Pelodiscus sinensis: one gene and its partner. The protein of the gene in region 2 purifies or fractionates together with the protein of the main gene of each other region. This does not show direct contact. Links are inferred from orthologs where the notes say so. Each region holds a gene or a part of one and is shown on either strand. Other genes may lie near its edges. The genes, in order: SLX4IP and SLX4.

Evidence for each region.
Region 1: the proteins of SLX4 (region 2) and SLX4IP purify together in Homo sapiens (affinity purification with mass spectrometry; 6 studies listed by BioGRID and IntAct, with this or other methods). This does not show direct contact. The link is inferred for Pelodiscus sinensis from reciprocal best matches to the Homo sapiens genes SLX4 and SLX4IP.

What each region holds. Positions count from the first base shown.
Region 1 is NC_134713.1:189,769,701-189,779,068, forward strand, and holds the start of SLX4IP (protein SLX4IP), read right to left. Parts: upstream 4,145-9,368; 5' UTR 3,858-4,144; coding exon 3,755-3,857; intron 1-3,754.
Region 2 is NC_134726.1:3,762,601-3,772,289, reverse strand, and holds the start of SLX4 (structure-specific endonuclease subunit SLX4), read right to left. Parts: upstream 4,099-9,689; 5' UTR 3,953-4,098; intron 1-3,952. Other genes in the region: TRAP1 (heat shock protein 75 kDa, mitochondrial), read right to left, coding at 8,615-8,716, 9,231-9,303. UniProt on the Homo sapiens protein: Regulatory subunit that interacts with and increases the activity of different structure-specific endonucleases.

The DNA of each region.
Region 1 (9,368 bases), on a different chromosome or scaffold from region 2:
GGACTGGCAGCAGTTCCCATCTGGTCACAGTTCCTGGCACCACTCCTGCTGGAATATGGGGTGCGGAATCAGTCCCTATCCAGCGGGGCTGTAACTGTGGCAGCACGGCCATGACCCTGATCTGCCGCAGGAGGAGCTGGCAGAGGCCCCACTCCTGCCACAGGAGTCTGGACCTGGCCTTGCTTCTGCAGAGAGGGTCTGAAATCGACCCATTTGCCCACAGTTTCAGCTGTGGCAGCCCAGCGCCATTCCCCATCTGGCCATGACCCCACTCCTGCTGTGGTGGCCCAGCCTTGGTCTCACTCCTGCAAAGGAGATTGCAAAGAAAACAGCAACACTAGGAGTAGTGAGATTTGGGGAGTGAATGAAACAGGCCTGGGCAGCACCAGCAACTAAGGCTAGTTTGGGATGTATGCAATGGTAGCAAGCAGGAGGGGGAGGGGGGGGGAGTGAACGCAAAAAGGGCAGGGAGATCTGGGGAGAATGCAAAGGGGACTAGCAGTGGGGAAGTTGACAGGGATGAATCCTAAATGGGAACGCAAGACTAGGGGCAGTTTGGGAGAGTGAATGCAAGAAGGGTGGGGAGATTTGGAGGAAGAATGCAAAAGGGATGTAGAAATTTGGAAAAAAAGGAAAAGGGGCAGGCAGCAACATTGGACATGAGGCAGTTTGGAGTGAAGGAAAAGGAAGTATGGAAAGTTGGGATGATTGAAAAGAGGGCGGGCAGCAGAAGGAGAGCAGGGAAGTTTGGCATAGTGAATGCAAAGAGGGAAGGAAGGATAGAGTAGGTGAAAGCAAAGGGGACAGGCATAAGAACATAAGACCATTCTTGCTCATCAGTATCATGTTTTCCAACAGTAGCCAATGCCCAGTGCTTCAGAGGGCAATTACACCCCCTTCTGTTTAGCCCAAATTTCTCACAATCTGAAACTTGGGGCACCCAAACCATGGGGTGAAAACCCTGAATATCTTGGCTTATAACAGGAGTTGGCAACCTATTTACCCTTGTTGTGTTTTGTGGGCTACATCCAATACTACCTGTGTGGCACTGAGGATTTCACATAGGCTACAACTGTGTGCTGATTGGGTTGCAAACAGTCTACGAGCCACAGGTTGAGAACCACTAGCTTACAGTCATTCAAAGACCTATCCTTCATGAATTTATCTAATTCTTTTTTGAACCCAGTTATAGTTTTGAGCTTTTCAGCATTTGCTGGAAATGAGTTGCACAGGTTGACAATGCACTGTGTGAAAAAAGTACTTTATTTTATTTTAAACTTTCTGCCTATTGATTTGATTGGCTGACTCCCGGTTCTTGTGTTATGTGAAGGAGTAAGTAATTTTTGAAGTGGCCCCCAGCAAAAATTATTGCCCACCTCTGGTCTAGATGGTGCTTGGTCCTGCCAGAAATGCAGGGAACTGGACTTGATGACTCCTCAAGGTTCCTTCCAGTTCTAGTATTCTATGATTCTATGAAACTATTCCATATCTTTAATACTTTTGGTTGCCTTTTTCTGTACCCTTTCCAATTCTAATACATCTTTTTTGAGATGGTGCAACCGGAACTGAACACAATATTCAAGCTATGAGCAGGCCATGGATTTATAAAATGGTATTATGATATTTACTGTCTTATTCTCTATCCCTTTCCTAATAGTTCCTAACATTGTTAGCTTTTCCCTACTGCATATTAAGCAGATGTTTTCACAGAACTATCCACAATGTTTGCAAGGTCTCTTTCTGGAAGGCTAATCACTAATTTAAACCCCGTTATTTTGTATGGACAGTTGGGAGTGTGTGAAATTGTATCCTCATTGTCCAGTCATCCAGATTTGTGAGATCCCTTTGAAACACCTCACAATCTTCTTTGGACTTAGCTAACTTGAGTAATTTTGTATTACCAGTAAACCTTGTCACCTCAGCATTTACTCCTTTCTCCAGCTCATTGATGGCTATATTGAATAGTACTATTCCCAGTGTACATCCTTGGGGAATACCACTATTATCTCTTGAAACAAAAGACAGAACTTTGTAGCACTTTAAAGACTAACAAGATGGTTTATTAGGTGATGAACTTTCAGGAGTCTGGCCCACGAAAGCACATCACCTAATAAACCATCTTGTTAGTCTTTAAAGTGCTACATAGTTCTGTCTTTTCTTTCAGCTAGACCAGACTAACACGGTTGCATCTCTATCACTATTACCTCTTGGCATTCTAAAAACTGACTATTCCTATCCTTTGTTTCCTGCCATTTAAACAGCTACCAATCCATGAGAGGTCCTTCCCTCTTAGCCCAGAAGTGCTTACTTTGCTTAAAAGCCTTTCCTGAGGGACCTTGTACAAGGCTTTCAGAAAGTTTGAGCACACTATATCCATGGAATAAACCTAGTCCACCATTTTTGACCTTCCTCAAAGAGTTATAGGGAGGCATCACTTCCCTTTTCAAAAACCATGTTGGCTCTTCTCCAACATATTGGCTGTGTCTACACTGACAAGTTATCCAGAAAATCAGCCACTTTTCCGGAAAAACTTGCCAGCTGTCTACACTGGCCGCTTGAATTTCCAGAAAAGCACTGACAATCTAATGTAAAATCATCAGCGCTTTTCCGGAAAAACTATGCTGCTCCCGTTTGGGCAAAAGTCTTTTTCCGGAAAACTGTTCCGGAAAAGGGCCAGTGTAGACAGCACAGTCGTGTTTTCCGCAAAAAAGCCCTGATCGCGAAAATGACAATCGGGGCTTTTTTGCGGAAAAGCGCGTCTAGATTAGCTACGGATTCTTTTCCGGAAAAAGTGCTTTTCCAGAAAAGTGTCCTGCCAATCTAGACGCGCTTTTCCGGAAATACTTTTAACGGAAACTCTTTTCCGTTAAAAGCATTTCCGGAAAATCATGCCAGTGTAGACGTAGCCATCATGTGTATCCATGGATCTCATCATGCCAGTTCAAACAGCAATGGTGGTGCAGTGGTTTGGGGGTGAATGCAAAGGGGGCAGATAACACTAGCAATGGTAGGTTTGGGAATGAATGCAAAGGGGGAGGGAAAATGGGGGTGAATCTAACGGGGACAAACAACAGTCCAATGGTAGCTTGGGGGTGAATGCAAAGGGGGCAGGGAAGTTTGAAGACTGAATGCAAAGGGGACAGATAACACTAGCAATGGTAGGTTTGGGAATGAATGCAAAGGGGGAGGGAAAATGGGGGTGAATCTAACGGGGACAAACAACAGTCCAATGGTAGCTTGGGGGTGAATGCCAAAGGGGCAGGGAAGTTTGAAGACTGAATGCAAAGGGGACAGATAACACTAGCAATGGTAGGTTTGGGAATGAATGCAAAGGGGGAGGGAAAATGGGGGTGAATCTAACGGGGACAAACAACAGTCCAATGGTAGCTTGGGGGTGAATGCCAAAGGGGCAGGGAAGTTGGGGGCGAATACAAAGGGGGTAACAGTAGCCGTTAGGTTAATGCAAATTGGCAGGAAAGCCGGGGGGTGAATGCAAAAGGTACAGCACTAGCAGGGGATAGATTTGGGGTGCATGGAAAGGGACAGAGCAGTTGGGGGTGAACGCCTGGGGGCAGCAGTGGTAGGCTTGGGGGGCGCGCAAAGGCAGCGGGGAGGTCGGGGGTGAATGCCTGGGGGCAGCGCTAGTAGGGGTAGGTCTGCGGGGGGAATGCCGAGGGGGTCTATGGGGGGGCGAGTTATCCTGCAGTAGGACCAGGGCCGTATCCACCCGTGTTGGGGGGGGGGGGTTACTCACGCTCCAGCCCCTCCCCGCACCGCGTGCCACGCTCTCGCTCGCCACCCCCGGCTTCTCTGCCCCTACTAAAAATGGCGGCTCGGTGGCGCCTCTCTGCCCCCATTCAAAATGGCCGCCGAGCGGGCGTCTCCTTGCCGCCGTCCGAAATGGCGACCCAATCACTCCCGGCATGCATTCCGCCTGGAACGGCAGCTCCCTGCCTGGCTTCTCCTGCGTCACGTGACCCGGGCGGCCAATGCAATTTTGGTGTTTCGCTAAACGCATTGCGAGTTATCCCCAACGGTTAGAAAAGGGCTGAGTCGTCGCTGGGTCCATAACCCATCCCCCCCTCAGAGGGGCACGGACGGCATGGGACCTTCCTCCTCCGACACATGGGGGGAGGGGAGTGTTGTATTATGTAGGTGTCTATAAAGATGCCTGAGGGACTTGGCCTCAAAAAAAAAAAAACCCAAGTTCCGTTGACCGGGCGTTTTCTGTAGCAGGAATCATTTTGAAATCCCCGTTAGGCTCTGTTCTGGGGGGGAGGCTGACTCTGAGTGGTCAAACAGGCATTTGATTAGCCACCTCCTCTCCCTACCAAAGGACCCGCGCCGGTGCCGCGGAGGGTTCTTGGCGTTCTCGCGGGCGCGGACAGTGGCGGCCGTTGGCTGCGGGCGGTTGGTCACCCCGCGAGGGCGAGTTGGCGGGGGGTTTGCGAGCGGAGGTGAGCAGGAGAGGGGGGGGGCGGGGCGGAGAGTGCGGGCGAAGCGGGGCTGGTTCCCTTCCCCGTGGACACAGCTTGCCCCGGGGGGAGGGAAGCTGGAGTCAATGGGAGCAGGCCCTGCACCCGCCATTCACACCGTGTCCTCACGAGCGTCTCTGCTCTGCGTGCCCCACACACGTTGCACCCCACCTCTGAGCGCTACGGGCCGGGAATAGACGGGACCGGGATCAGCTCCTCCCACCCCACCGCCCTGGCAGGGGAATGAGTCAGCGAGGGATGCCCGGGGCAGAGTGGCGAATGGCGGCTGCCTTGTGCTGCAGGAAAGCGTCATGGTCCCGGCCAGCCTGAGCTCGGGGGATTCCTTTCCAGTTCCTCCTCAGACCTCCGCTGGAGCAAGAGCCACCCAGACAAGCACCTGAGGAGAGACAGTTTGACCCCCCCGGGAGCCTCAGTGTCCCATCTCTAGCAGCCCCCCGCCTGTGCAGCCTTTAGGACTGCCTGGTGCGTAATGGCCTGCCAGGCTCGGTTTTTTCTCTTCCACACTTGAACAGCAGTCCCTAGAGAGTGGGTTACAGAGGAGTTGTGTATCAGAGCCCAATATCCAGCCCAGGTGTTGAGAGTCCTAGTCCAGTGCCCTTTGCAAACTCCTGTTACAATCTGAAGCCATGTCTCCACTTGACACACCGGAAATCGATATTTTGGCATTCAATTTGGTGGGTCTAGTAATGATCTGCTAAATCAGACAATGGGGGTCAGTGCCCGTTCTGCTCCTTTTGAGGAGTAAGGGAAGCCGACCAAACCATTTGGAGTATGGAGACAGTGCCAGATTTGGCTTAAGGTATGTCGATTCCAGCTATGTTGCTTACGTAGCTGGAGTTGTGTACCTTAAGCTGACTTTACAGGTCTAGTGTGTAGACCTGGCCTGAAGCAAAGAAAATCTTACATGAACACCACCACTCACTGTGTATCCTAGTGGTGGTATTCTGTGTACAGCTCCTAAAGCAGGCATGTCCAAAGTCCGGCCCACGGGCCAATTGCGGCCCATGTTCTGGTTTAATACAGCCCCCCAGGTAATTTGGCAATATCTATCTTTTATGGTCCCCAACGAATCCATATGTATTGAGATGAATACATTGTAAAATCTCAGTTAATGTCAGTTGGTCTAAATCAGTTATAAATATATTTGGACACAACATTTATACTTGGTGTTATGTTCCTGTTCATATTTTTTGAACTTAAAAGTTGACAGACAACCTTTATTACCAATAATATGTAATGTACTTTACAATGTTCCTGACATATATTTCAGCTTCCTGGATTTTTTTTTTCATCTGGCCTTCAGATATGAAAGGCAGAGTGATTTAACACCTGTTTAGATTTGTCATCCATGTAACGAAATGAAAAGTATGCCGTTTGCAATAAACTTTGCATAAAATAGTTAATTTGCATTTAATTGTAATGGTTCAAAGAATGTCAGGCAAAATGGTCGGCCCTCACGCATGTTCACTTCATCAAATCTGGCCCTCTTTGAAAAAAGTTTGGACACCCCTGTCCTAAAGCACACAGTCAAGAAGCTAAGATTCAAAGATTTAGAAACAGTCCTTTCTTCACTTTCCTATCTTGGGGAGTTTGCAGCAGCATTTCACATATTAGTACAGCTGATTAATTTGTATCATGTTTTGAAACTTTATGGAGAAGGGGAAATTGAGAAATTGTTGGATTATTTTCAGTTAGCTTTAGTCCTGACAATGGTAATGCTTAGCTGTCATGTGGTGCTTGTCAGGTATATATTTCAAAGTGTTTTAAGAGGAGATGTTTATCAACACTATACCCTTCTACTGCACAGACACATGTATAATATTGGGAAGACTACCAATTCTCAGAGCCTGTCATAATGCAGTCTATGACTTAGAACAACTCTACAGCATACAGTTTTGTCCATAAGAGTAGGGATGTGTGTATTTGTGACATGTCTATAGTTACCAAAGTCCTGTGGTAGATGCAATTATACCAGCATAAAATTGCTTTAGGGTTGTATATCTTATTTTGCTTGCCATATTGGTAAGAGCTGCATTGGCCCAAACTGTTCTTTCCTGCATCTATCGTAGGAGGGTTTGCAGCTATTCCAGCAGACCTTTTTAAGTATAGCCCTGTCGTTAGGGTGTTTCAAGTATCTGAAAATATTGCAGCTTGGTGGGGGAAAGATCTAACTAGTTCTAGAGATAAGACTTGTTTTATAACAACCCTTCAAAAAATTTTCAACTCCAGAAGAGTAGTTGCTTATCTCTCCTCCTATTTTCTTTCCACCCTCCACCTCAACTCACTACCCCAAGCCCCCATCCCCAGAAAAGTAGGGAGTTAAAAAGTAAAAAACACCAGTGCTCCCATCATTTTTATGTTTTCAGATTCCTGTCTAATAATAATGCATTATCTTGAACAATATATACTGGGGAAATTCTATACAAAAAAATACATTACTCACATGATATTTTTAAATTCTGCATATTTCATTTGTCAAAATAACAATATAATCATGCCAGTTCAAATTACTTCCCTGGTTTATTTCAAAATACCTGCCAGTAACTATATAACAGTAAAGATAAGATTCAGGAAATGGGAGGGGGGAGAGAATTATGAATAAATTCCTTACTAGACATTAATATGGAATTCTGATTAATTAATTTAAACTGCAGTCCCTTAGATCTTAATCTATCCCATACTTTTCAGTACATTGGGCTACCCACATTCTCCAGGTTTGCTTATCAGCTGCCATGTGACCTAAGTCCTATTTCAAATTAAATAGTTTTATGTCATTGATGATTGTATGCTTGCAAGTCATCCTAGGCCTACCCCTCTTTCTTGTTAGATTTTCTGGCCTCCAACTGAGAGCCATAATTGGTAGTCAGTTATGATCCTTTGTAAAATATGCCTTAGCCCAGGAGTAGGAAATAATTTTTGATGGGGGGCCTCTCCAAGAATTTTGTAAGTGATCAACGGCCCACATTATCTTTTGCCCAGCCCTGCCCTGCCCTAGCCATTGATGTCTTCTTACAAATTATTTGTGATAGAGACCTCACTTTTTAGTCATTTTACTGGTCTCATTGTTTGTTTTTCTTTCCTCATAGCTTACTCCTAATATTCTCTGCAGCCTACTCATATTGCCAGTCAGCTTTTGTCCCAGTCTGTCCCCCTAGAAATTCTGAACACTTCTCTGTGACACACACCCTCAGCATTCCCATATTTCGTATGCTGTCTATCCCTTGATATCCCATGCCTCCTGACATGGCCCCATAGGCAGGGCACCACGACGAATGCAGCTATCCTCAGATGGGACTGCAGCCTCTTTGCAGGGGCTGCTCTGTTCTGGTATAACAGTGGCTCCTGATGGATGAAAGGAGTAACTACAACACCTTTCTGACAGGATGTATTGTCTGCTGGGGAAAGAAAAATTCTGTGTGGCACATGAATTCTCTGCATCTGCAATGGTGCAGAATTCCCCCAAAAGTAAATCTAGCACAAGAAGCTTATATTACTAAAGCTAATGAGAGCCTGACAGAGAGTTTAAAATCTGAACTCTTGCCAACAGTAGGACTTCTTGTGAGTATGAGTGATTTGTTTTGTGGGGAAAGCGAAGTTATTCACTAAAACTTGTAAAAGGATATAATAAAATATTTTCAGGTTAATGATGCCATTCAGATAGGTATTGAAGCTTTTGGTTTTACAGCAGAAGTATGTTAATGATCAGGAACAGCATTGAGAGGGATAGGGGTAAATGTAGCATATGTTCTTTTGTGAACTAAGCATGAGGTTGGGCAACCGGAGGCCTGGATTTTATTTGACTGACACTGAAGTTCAGTGACATTTAGAGAAAGTCACTTAGGATCAGTGTTAAAGATGTTAAAAACTAGTCGACTAGTCAGTTCCTTCCCTCCTTCCACCCGCTGCCTCTATCAGAGGCAGCAAAGCGGGGGGAAGAGGGAGTACTTCAAAGGGCAACACTACACAGCTGAGCCCGGCTCAGCTATGTGGCACTGCTCCTTTGAAACACCAAGACGGAGTTTCAAAGCAGCAGCGCTGCCTGGAGTCCAGGGTCAGCTGGGGTCTGCACAGCATTTCTGCGGAACCCAGGATCAGCTGGGAACTCCCAGCTGACCCTGGGATCTGGTGGTATTTCAAAGCGGCAGTGCAACATGGAGCCCAGGGTCCATGAGGGCGCTTCCACTTTGAAATCACAGGAGCCTCCACTGGGAACTCTTGTACATTTCAAAGCTGGCATGCTGTGTGCAGCCTGGAGTCAGCGGGACTTCCTGCAGCACGCTGTGTTCCACCCACTGGAGGTTCTTGTACATTTCAAAGGAGGAATGCTGAAGTGCCTGTCGACTAGTTGAGTAGTCAGAGAAATTCCGTTGACTACTTGACTAGTCAGTTATGTTCAATTTAACATCCTCAGTCAATGTTCCCTCAAATTTTTCCTTCCAGGGGCAGAATACATTTGGTTATGTGCACCACCAGTAGAAACATGTGCTGTCTACTGTGAGCAGCTGTGGGCACTCTACTAATCAGGTGGGTGGCATCTGCATCTCTGCTGGGTGGCCACCCAAGCGCTCACCTTACAGGGAATGCTGCTTAGGATGAGACCTCACTGCAAAGAAAACCCAGAACCTGTAGCAGCCAGTCTTGGAGTTTGAATTAGGTGATTCAGGATCACATTATGGAGGTAAAAATATCTATGTAGGCATTCCCACTAAGGCTGTGAGACCCACCCCTTCACGAGGTTCAGAACCCAAGCGGAAATGTCTACACAACTTTTTTGTAGCTCCAAAACATGAACCCAAGACCATTAATATAGGCTCTGAGAGTGAGTACTGACAGATTTGAGAGGGCATTTTTGTTTTTTGTTTTTTTTTTTGT
Region 2 (9,689 bases):
GCATGTTTCCTACTTTACGAATGGGCTGAGACTGAGTTTTTCTTTTACATAATAGGATCTGGAAGTGAATGTCAGAGTGGAACTAAAACCACACACACACATATTTTATATCAGGGGTTTTCAAACTTTTTTTTCCTCATCTTGAAGAAAATTGTTGATGCCCGCAACCCAACATAATGTGACTAGAGTGTGGGCTCCAGGGTGGGGCTGAGAGCTTTGGGTTGCAGGAGGGGACTCCAGCTTTGGAGATCTATGAGGAACTGATGATACAGCTGCAGTGCCTCACACTGAAGTGCAGGAGAATTGGACTGAGTTAACAGTCTGGCGCCAGACAGAGCTTGGACTGCGAAAAAAGCAGCACAGCCATGACTGGACGAATGCATTACCTCACTCAACAGCAGACCTAGAAAGCAGTGGCACATGGTCCCTGAAAGACTTAAGGAGGTCTCAAGAGAAGGATCAAAATAGAGGGAAAGTTGGAAGCACTTCATTCCTCAAAAATGGAATTAAATGTTTCTTTTTCCATAAGTAACTAGTTTTCTAATTATAGAAAGATCCCAGGAAGAGGGAGGGCTCTGTGCTGCTGTGCTGGAACCATAAATATTACTTCCCCTCCCTTGAAGACTTATTACAGAGGACCTGGAAGCTTGGAAGCAGAGTTTTCAATCACGCCAGTCAAAACACAGCATGGGGAAAGAATTGGTATTTGTGCTGGAACCCACAGCAGAAAGAGACCCCCTGGAATATTTCCAGCCCAAGTACTGTAGCCATAAGCTTTCCTACAGCCCTCAGTACTTCCCATTGCTGCTGGAGAGAAACCCACAGATCTACAGCAGACCTTCCTGAGGAGCCTCTCACAGACCTTCCCTCATGCAGTCTCTCTCAGTTCAGTGCTACATAGGCTTGTATGTCATGCTCATCACAGTAATATCCTTTGTAACCATAGTATGGCAGACTCACTGTACTGCTACACTGTTCACAAGGCATGGCTTCTCTGCATCCCTGGGGTTGCAAAAAACATCTTAATGTGCAACGGCAATCAAAAAAGCCAAAAGAATGTTAGGAATAACTAGGAAAGAGATAAATAAGAAAATATAACGTCACTACATCAATCTATAATATGCCCACACCTTGAATACAGAATGCAGTTTTGGTCACCTCATCACAAAAAAGATATCTTAAAATCTGAAAAAAGAGAGAAGAGCAAACCAAACAATCAAACAAACAAAAAAAACCCAAGAGTACTGCTCATTTTAGAAAAGAGATGACTAAAGCAGGATATGATAAAGGCTTATAAAATCACTAATGGTATGGAGAAAGTGAAGTGTTATTTACCCCTCTTCTAACATAAGAACCAGAGAGCCCTTAATTTCACTGAGTTAGTACTTCTTAACACTATCTGTGGAACTCATTGAAAAAGATGATGAAGGATAGGTCCATGAATGCATTAGCTCAGATGGTCAGAGGTGCCACTAAATCTCTGTCTGAGAGAAGTTGGGACTGGATGCTAGGAGATGGATCGCTTTATTATTGCCCTGTTCTGTTCGTAACCTCTGAAGCATGTTGCATAAGCCACTGTTGGAAGTAAGGACATAGGGACAGATGGACCATACATCAGTCAATTCAACTACCTGATAACTAATAATAATACCTAGCTCTTATACAGTGCTTTTCATCAGTAGATCCTGACACACTTTACAAAAGAGGTCAGTATCATTAACCCCATTTTACAGATTGGGAAACTGAGACAGAAAGGGAGGGGGAAGGTGACTGGCCCATGGTCACCCACGAGACCAGTGGCAGAGCTGACAATAAAGTTCAGCATGTGAATGTCCGCAATAACAGGACAAAAGCTTTTGTCTTAAATCACCACATCCCTTGCTTTTCCAGCCAGGATCGGCTCTTTTGGTATCTAATCCCTTCTGATCTTGGAAGTGAAAGGTAGATTTCCACTTTGCTGCCTTGAAGATGCTGCAGAGAGAATGCAACTGCTGCATCCCCAGGTAATATGGTCTGAGTGAACCTGCATCTGCTACAGTTAAGCAATAGTACAAAGCTGAGTGAAACAAGTAACTACGAATCTGACGGCTATAAATATCTGTGACGATAAGAGAGAGCTGCGATAGCTCAAGGAAAATCCATGCAATTTTTAACAAAATCCCACATTTTAATTTTTACCGCAAATTGCTAATGGGGCTTATTATCTATGCCTAGCTTGGTTACACACAGAATCTGCACAAAAGGCCTGATTCCTCTCTCTTACCAGTTTAACTCTAATGAAGTCAACAGCATTTCTGATAGGAGAAGCAGGCCCTACATAGCAAAATTGTTTTGGCTTTTTTTTTTAAACTAATATAAATTTAACTTTTCCTGAACATAATGCTAGGAATAGATGCCATGCTAGATAATGAAATAGTCAATCCACAGAACAATAGTATAGACTAGGGGTTATCAAACTTCACTGCACCCCAATCCCTTTCTGACAACAGAGTTACTCAGGTGGAAGAAAGGGACAGAGCCTGCTCCCCACCGCTCTAGGTGTGGGGGGAGAGAACACAGCCAGAGACTTGCCATTCCAGGGAGGAGGAGAGGGGGACAGAGAGAAGGGACCAGAGCCTAAGCTCCACCACCCTGGAGCCACGCTGCCCTAGGTGTGGGTGGAGCTCAGGTTTCAGCTTCAGCCTAAGGTACAAGCAAGCCTAAGGCTGGCCCTGGAGACTCTATTAAAATTGGGTCAAGACCCATTTTGGAGTCCGGACTCACAGTTTGAGAACTGCTGCTACAGAATATAGGAACTGCCACACTGGACTGGATCTGCGATCGATCTAGTCTGATGTGCTGTTTCTAACATAAGAATGGCCATACTGGGTCAGACCAAAGGTCCATCCAGCCCAGTACTCTGTCTGCCGACAGTGGCCAATGCCAGGTGCCCCAGAGGGAGTGAATCGAACAGGTAATGATCAAGCGATCTCTCTCCTGCCATCCATCTCCACCCTCCTAATGATGGCTAGTATCAGATGCTTCAGAGAAAGATGCATAAACACCTCATTATGAAGCTGTGGGATGATCTGCCACCATGACAGCCTCACCCTAATAGTTAACAAGGTTGGTTTGAGCACAGACACATGAAGTTTGCATCTTTCAAAATTTTGGCATGGTTACCATTATCTATTGGACAGTCTTTGTTAGCCATATAAATGTTCAATCTCTTTTTGAATGTTGCTAATGTTATGGCCTCTTTGGCAAACCTGTGAATTTTGTGTTAATGTGCCAATGTTTTAATTCCATAGATATCCCCTTGTTCCTGAATTGTACGCCTGGGAGAACAGAAACGCCTGACCTACATTTTCTTCACCAGTAATTATTTGATAGACTTTAACCGTGCACTGCCAAGCACGGCTTTTGCAAGCCAACAATTTTAGAGCGGTGTACTAAAAAGTGGCTAATTTAGCAGTGGCTTTGCGCGTGCTTTTAAGGAGATCTGTTCACCAAATCCCACGCTGTCATACGTGCCCCCCACAACTCCTCTTCAAGGTGTTGCCACTGTTTAAAACCCTGGAACACCAGGCTGAATGGCGCAGCGCCGTTTCCACTGGCCTTAGACCCGAGCTACGGATCCCCGGGCTGATGCTGGACAGAGACTTGGTCTAGCACGGTTCGTTACCCGGCCCGGGCCGGGAGGGAAGGGTTGTGGGGTGCGACCGGCTGGGATTCCCACCCGCACTGCTGGGGGCGCCACATTTCCCACCATCGCCCCTCACGCCAAAGCCGCCGAGCGGTGCTACGTGACAGCGATGGCACTATGACATCACAGCGGGCACTGTGACATCACGGCAGTGCTGCCTGACAACGTCTCCATGGGAACCAGAAGTTGCGCCAGCCGCTGACAACGCAACAGAGAATCTTCCCCCCGCTACATCGTCTCGTCCCGGCCTCCCCCGGACCCTCTGACCTCTGCTGGGCGGCAGCTCCGCACCCCTGGGTACTAAGCCGGGCGGCAGCACATTCCGCCCAAAAGGCACGCGCAGAATCTGTGGCGCATGCGTAGAAGAAACGGCGGCCGTTAGCGGGTAGCATTCGTGGGCCGCTTTCCGTCGTCTGGCTTCTTCGCGCATGCGTAAACCCCCATCATCGCTACACAAAGGCCACCTCCCAAACCTCGTTCTGTACGCATGCGCGGCCCCTCCCCTTGCTGCGCGTGCTCCGGAGGCACCTCGGCTCGACCGGCTGCTAACGGCTCAGCCAGGTTGGGCCCGCGCGAGCGTTTTGTCGGTTAAACGGTCACGCGCAGACGGGCGAGTGCGGAACGGCTCTCCAGTCACAGCTCCCGGCTCCTGCGGGGAGTTTAATGAGGCAGCAGGAGCGCTCCAATGGCCCCTCTTAGCTTTGCCATCCACTGGGGAATCCGTGCTTACTGCGCGCCCCCAGCACCACAGCCTTAGAGGGAACTCGCCCTGTTCACGGGTACCAGCGTGCTGACAACAGATCCGTCGTTCCCCTTGGCTAAGCCCCGTGATCTGGCAATAAGGAGTCTCACAGGAATATCCCGGGGACCACAAAGTTTCCGTTGTATAGGGGCCACCCTAGGAGGACCGAGATTTTTTTCGACACCCATGGTACTTGTGCTTACTGAAACAAAGGTGAGCTTCCTTGTGGTTTCCATGGAAGGGAGGAGCCTTTCAGGACTGTGTCCTGAGTGGCTTTGCTGAATGCAGGGATGTTAATTAACTTTTAAAATGTTAACCAGTTAAGTGCTAGGTTTCAGAGTTAACCCTGGAGCAGCCCCACCCAGTGGCAGGACAGGCTGCTCCAGCCCCAGCTGTGCCATGACTTCAGATGTCAAGGGCTGCTCTGGCCCCAGACCTACTGTGGCCTTGAAGGTTACTCCAGCCCCTGCTGTGGGGGCTGCTTTTGCCTGCTTGTGTGCTGGATGGGTCTAAGAGCAACCTGGTGCAGCGGAAACTAGCATATCAGATGGCAGCGTGGTGTGTGTGTGGAGGGGGGTTCCAACCTGTCACAGTTGATAGAGCTGAAAGGTGCCTCAGTTTTCAAACATTAAAGCTGAACCAGAGAACAGGCAGGAATTCTCTTGGGAGAAAAGGCTCCGGAGCTGCTGGGCTAGAAACTCTGGCAATGGCTGTACATCTCAAATGACTTGGTTCCATTTTTTTATTGAAATGTATTTAGGATTTCTGGGATCTAGGCCCTAGCTCAGATTCACTGTGTGCCCTTGAACAATTCATTTACCCTCAGTGCTAGTTTTGCCACTAGTTAAATAGACAGTAATGACTAACTTCACGAAGGAGATGGGAGAATTAGTGTTTGCAAAGCATAAACAGAATTACTAAGTATTATTAATGGCTCCCGAGTTCTCTGCTTTTGGAAACAATAGCCTCCCTTAATGTTTTAAACAGTTGCTGGTGAAGGAGCTTAGAGTGCAGATTCCTGGCCTGTGGTTTGTCTGTAAATCACAACGCTGGACTCTACCCAAGACACTCTCTTGAATGTTTTAGCAGGAAGTCTGGATGAACAAAGCTCTGTTCTCAGTTACGTAGCCCAGGGAACTACTTTGAGCTGGTCCAGTCTCAAAGTCCCAGCCAGACCTTCAAGGGATTCTGTCCAAGTCCCAAAGCACAGGGTCTCAGACACATCCTTCCAAACTGGATTTCACCGTCTATAACTATTTGGCATTGCCTATGTTAAGGATGTATTTGACTCCTTAGTGCTACCTGTGGGTCAGCTGACCAGCCTCAGAAAAAAGGATGGTTAAGAGCCTAATTTATTACCCGTTAATTACATGAACACTTGGGCAAGAAGCTGCCAGTGTAGACATAGCCTAAGAACAGCTGATCTTGCGCAAAAACTTGCCTGCTGTCTACACTGCAGGAGCATTCTTGCACAAGTAAGTTTACAGTATAGCGTTGTAAAACAGGGCTTCTTCCTGAAGAGTTATTCCTCTCCCCATGAGGAATTAGCCCACAAGAGCTGATCCACAAGAGGGCAGTGTAGACAGGCAACATGAATTTCTTGTGAAAGAAGCCCCTATGGTTAAAATGACCATCAGTGTCCACACTGCCATGGATGCTCTTGCGCAAAAGCACATCTCTTGTGCAAAAGCACATGGAATTGTGGACACGCTCTTGTGGAAGATTTTTTGCACAAGAACTCTTCCGCAAAAGAGTTCTTGCGCAAGAAGCTGCCACTGTAGATGTAGCCTTAGGTTTTGCCTGACCCCAGAATTTGAACTGCCTCATTTATACTCTTGGGCCCGCTCAACACTAGGGCAGAAGGATGACCTAAGATACACAACTCTAGCTATGTTAGTTACATAGCTGGAGTCGATGCATCTTAAATTGCCATCCACACAGCAGGAGGTTGATGCCAGCAAACGCTCCCGGCTACTTCCATTATACTCCTCACTAGGAGCAGGTGTGACGTAGTGGGGGGCTGTTTACTCTAGTGGTTGTAGGTCCACTCTGGTTGGGCATTCACTGGTTGCAGTGGGGGCTGCAGGTGACCCCTACTGGCCTGCATCTGTAAGCACTGCCCAGTGGGGGGGGGGGGGGGTCGCCTGGAGGCTCTCCTCATGTAGTTCATGGTCCAACCAGTTCTCACCTGATGAGGAAAGGGATCTGAACAACAGAAGGGTGTGGCTTGGAGAAGGGCAGTCTTTGCTGGAAAAACATGAAGAGACTAAGCTGAATACTGGGGGTTGAGGGGCTAGTGGACCCCTATCCCAAGGGGTCCAAGGCTGCCTGGCCCTGACTCCTGTAACCATATGACGTCAATTCTGTACTGTATCCTGGAGAACCAATAAACCCTCTCTATTCTACTGGCTGGCGGAGTCTCATCTTGCTGCGGACAGAGGTGCAGGATCAGGGGATACCCGCCACACCACCTTATTGGTGCTGAGGGAAACACCCTCTGAGTTCAATTTAGTGCATCTTCACGACACTAGCTAAATTGAACCCCAGAAGATCAACCGCAGCAGTATCAATCTTCCATGTACTGTAGACATGACCTTAGTATTATATACAGTATAATGCAGACCATAAGTAAGTCCAATTTACTGGGTGGTATTTATTTAAATGACTAAACAGCAACAAGATGCTACATATACCTTAAGCAGAGCTGGCTCATGATCCACCATATAGACACTGAACAGACTTCACACATTGACGATGCTAGTCTGAGTTAATCCTAGAGATGGAAAGGTGAAAGGCTCTACTTTCTGATCTTCCCAAAGGCTGAGGTAAGTTTATGGTATTTAAAAAATGACAACATTACTCTTCAATTTTGTCTGGTCAGCATCACAAAATGCTGGTTTAGTGACAAGTTTTTACTGCTTATTTGTGTTCACCTGCTGAGCTCAAGTATCTCTGGGAGAGAGCTGATTCTATGCTGGCTCACATGGCACCAGAATCATTAACCAAGTTCTACTTATAGAATCTTATTTCTGATTCATCCTGAACTCTCCAGTAAGAGCCCACACTGAGTTTGCAATGCTACTGGTTATTAAAAAAAATCTTGTACACTGAGCTCAACTGCCCGGTGAAACAGAAAAACAGAGGACCATGGTAGCTTGTCTCTCTCAGGCCCTTTCTGCTGGGTAGTTAGCACATGTTAAAAACCTGGAGTTTAGCTCTTAGTACCTTAAGGACAAGAATTAGGGTTCATAGCTCAGGGACTCGCCTCCTACTTCCCTTCCAATTCCTTCTATATGGCCTTCCCCATCCCCCACACCACTGGCAGAAGGAGCTCTTCCCCACCATTCTAGGACGCTGCTGCCTCTCAGCATTGGGGAGTGTGTGAAAGGATATGAACTGTCATGCTATCAGAGCTGGGGCACAACAGAGAAAAATAAGGCAAATTCCCCTGGTGAAGGTATCATTAAATGAAGAATTTATTTAACATAAATAAGCAGAACAGCGATTACCTAGGGCATGCCAATTATACCACAAGGGAGGCAGAAACCCTGGAAAAACTGTTCAAAATGCCAAGTGAGCTTGTCAAATATATCCCCAGATACAGAGATGAGTTCAGTTATCCAGTGGCTCAGCTACCTTATCTGCCACACCACTCCGACCTATGTTTGTTAATGGCAACCATCTATCCCGGTGCCTGCTAACCACTGGGTGGAAGTTTTGTGACAAACTCATTTTGCTCGGCCGAAGCTGGTGTTCTGAGCCCACAGTGTACAAGGGCAAATTCCTGAATGGGTATCTGGGGCTGTTTCATGGAGCTAGTGTGGACTCCTGATGTCAATTTTGCTATTGGGAAAGACTGTTTCTGGAATCAATATGAAATTAGAACTTTGGAGCCAACCTCAGAAATCCTGGCAAATCATTTTAGCGATAATCTCCTGGTTTTGATCTCAGCTGGATGATGCCATTCCGGAAGGGTAATACACAGCCCAGTACTTACAACTGGAACCTCTCTCTAAAGTGAAACTTGGGAGCACATTCATGTGCCACGCAGACCTGCAGAGATTCTAGTCTCACTGTACGGAGTCTGGGACCAGACGGCTGTTCCATCAGCTGACAGTGGAAGTTGTGCTTGAAGGAACTGCGGCTGATACCTGGCACAGAGCTTGCCCCTTCGATCAGTTTGGGGATCAGTGTTTTTCCAGGGCTTTGGTAAGGAGCTCATTTAGACGGCTCACCATAGGTCTGGGGTCATCATTCAGTCCTGCTGCTATCATGGCATTCTCATAAATCTGAGCGAGACAAAGGCACAGAGAAGAGATGTTGTTAGCAACAGGAGCCACCTTGGTGGCTCTCCAGCACTCCATGCCCCGAGTGTATGAATGTGAGGTGCCATTTGGAGCCCTGTTCAGTTTCAGACACAATTACCATCCCTCCACACTTCAAGAGAGCCATCTTAAATGTCAGGTACTGCCTATGAATTCTTTCTGCTTGGTTCCTTTCCTTTCCTTTCCTTTCCTTCCCTCCCCCCCCCCCCCACTAGTGCTGCCCACTCTGGTGTAAACAGCATCGTTCTCAGCTCTGCACCAGACACGAATTGTAGTAGGCCAGAATGAGCAACACAGACCCATCCCTGGATGACACCAAAACATTCTAGGGAAATGGTCACTGCGTACTAAAAATACCGAGAGTGGGGATCACTGGGTACATGATTCCAGTTGGCCACAAGACAGCCTTGGTCCACTCCCTTACTGCCCACAGATGTGGTAGCCTGCTCAGGGAGCATGGTGCAAACATGGCCCTCACCTGATCAAGCAGCAGCTGGGCCAAGTCAGGCTGGCTGACCCTCAGTTGATCGAGTTTTTTGATCAGTGCATGCCTGCAATGGAATGAGAAATCAGCACAGGGTTGCAGTACCCCTGGAATGTGTGAAAAAGCCCGATAAGAACGGCCATACTGGGTCAGACCAAAGATCCATGTAGCTCAGTATCCTGTCTTCCAATAGTGGCCAATGTCAGGAGCCCCAGAAGGAACAAACAACAAGTAGTCATCAAGTGATCCGTCCCATCACCTATTCCCACTTTCTGAAAGAGGCTGGGGACACCTTCCCTGTCAACAGCCATTGATTGACCTACCCTCCATGACTTGATTTAGTTCTTTCTTGAACCCTGGTCTAAGTCTTGCCTTTCACAATATCCTCTGGCAAGGAGTTCCACAGGTTGACTGAGCTGTCTGAAGAAATACTCTCTTTTGTTTGTGTTAAAC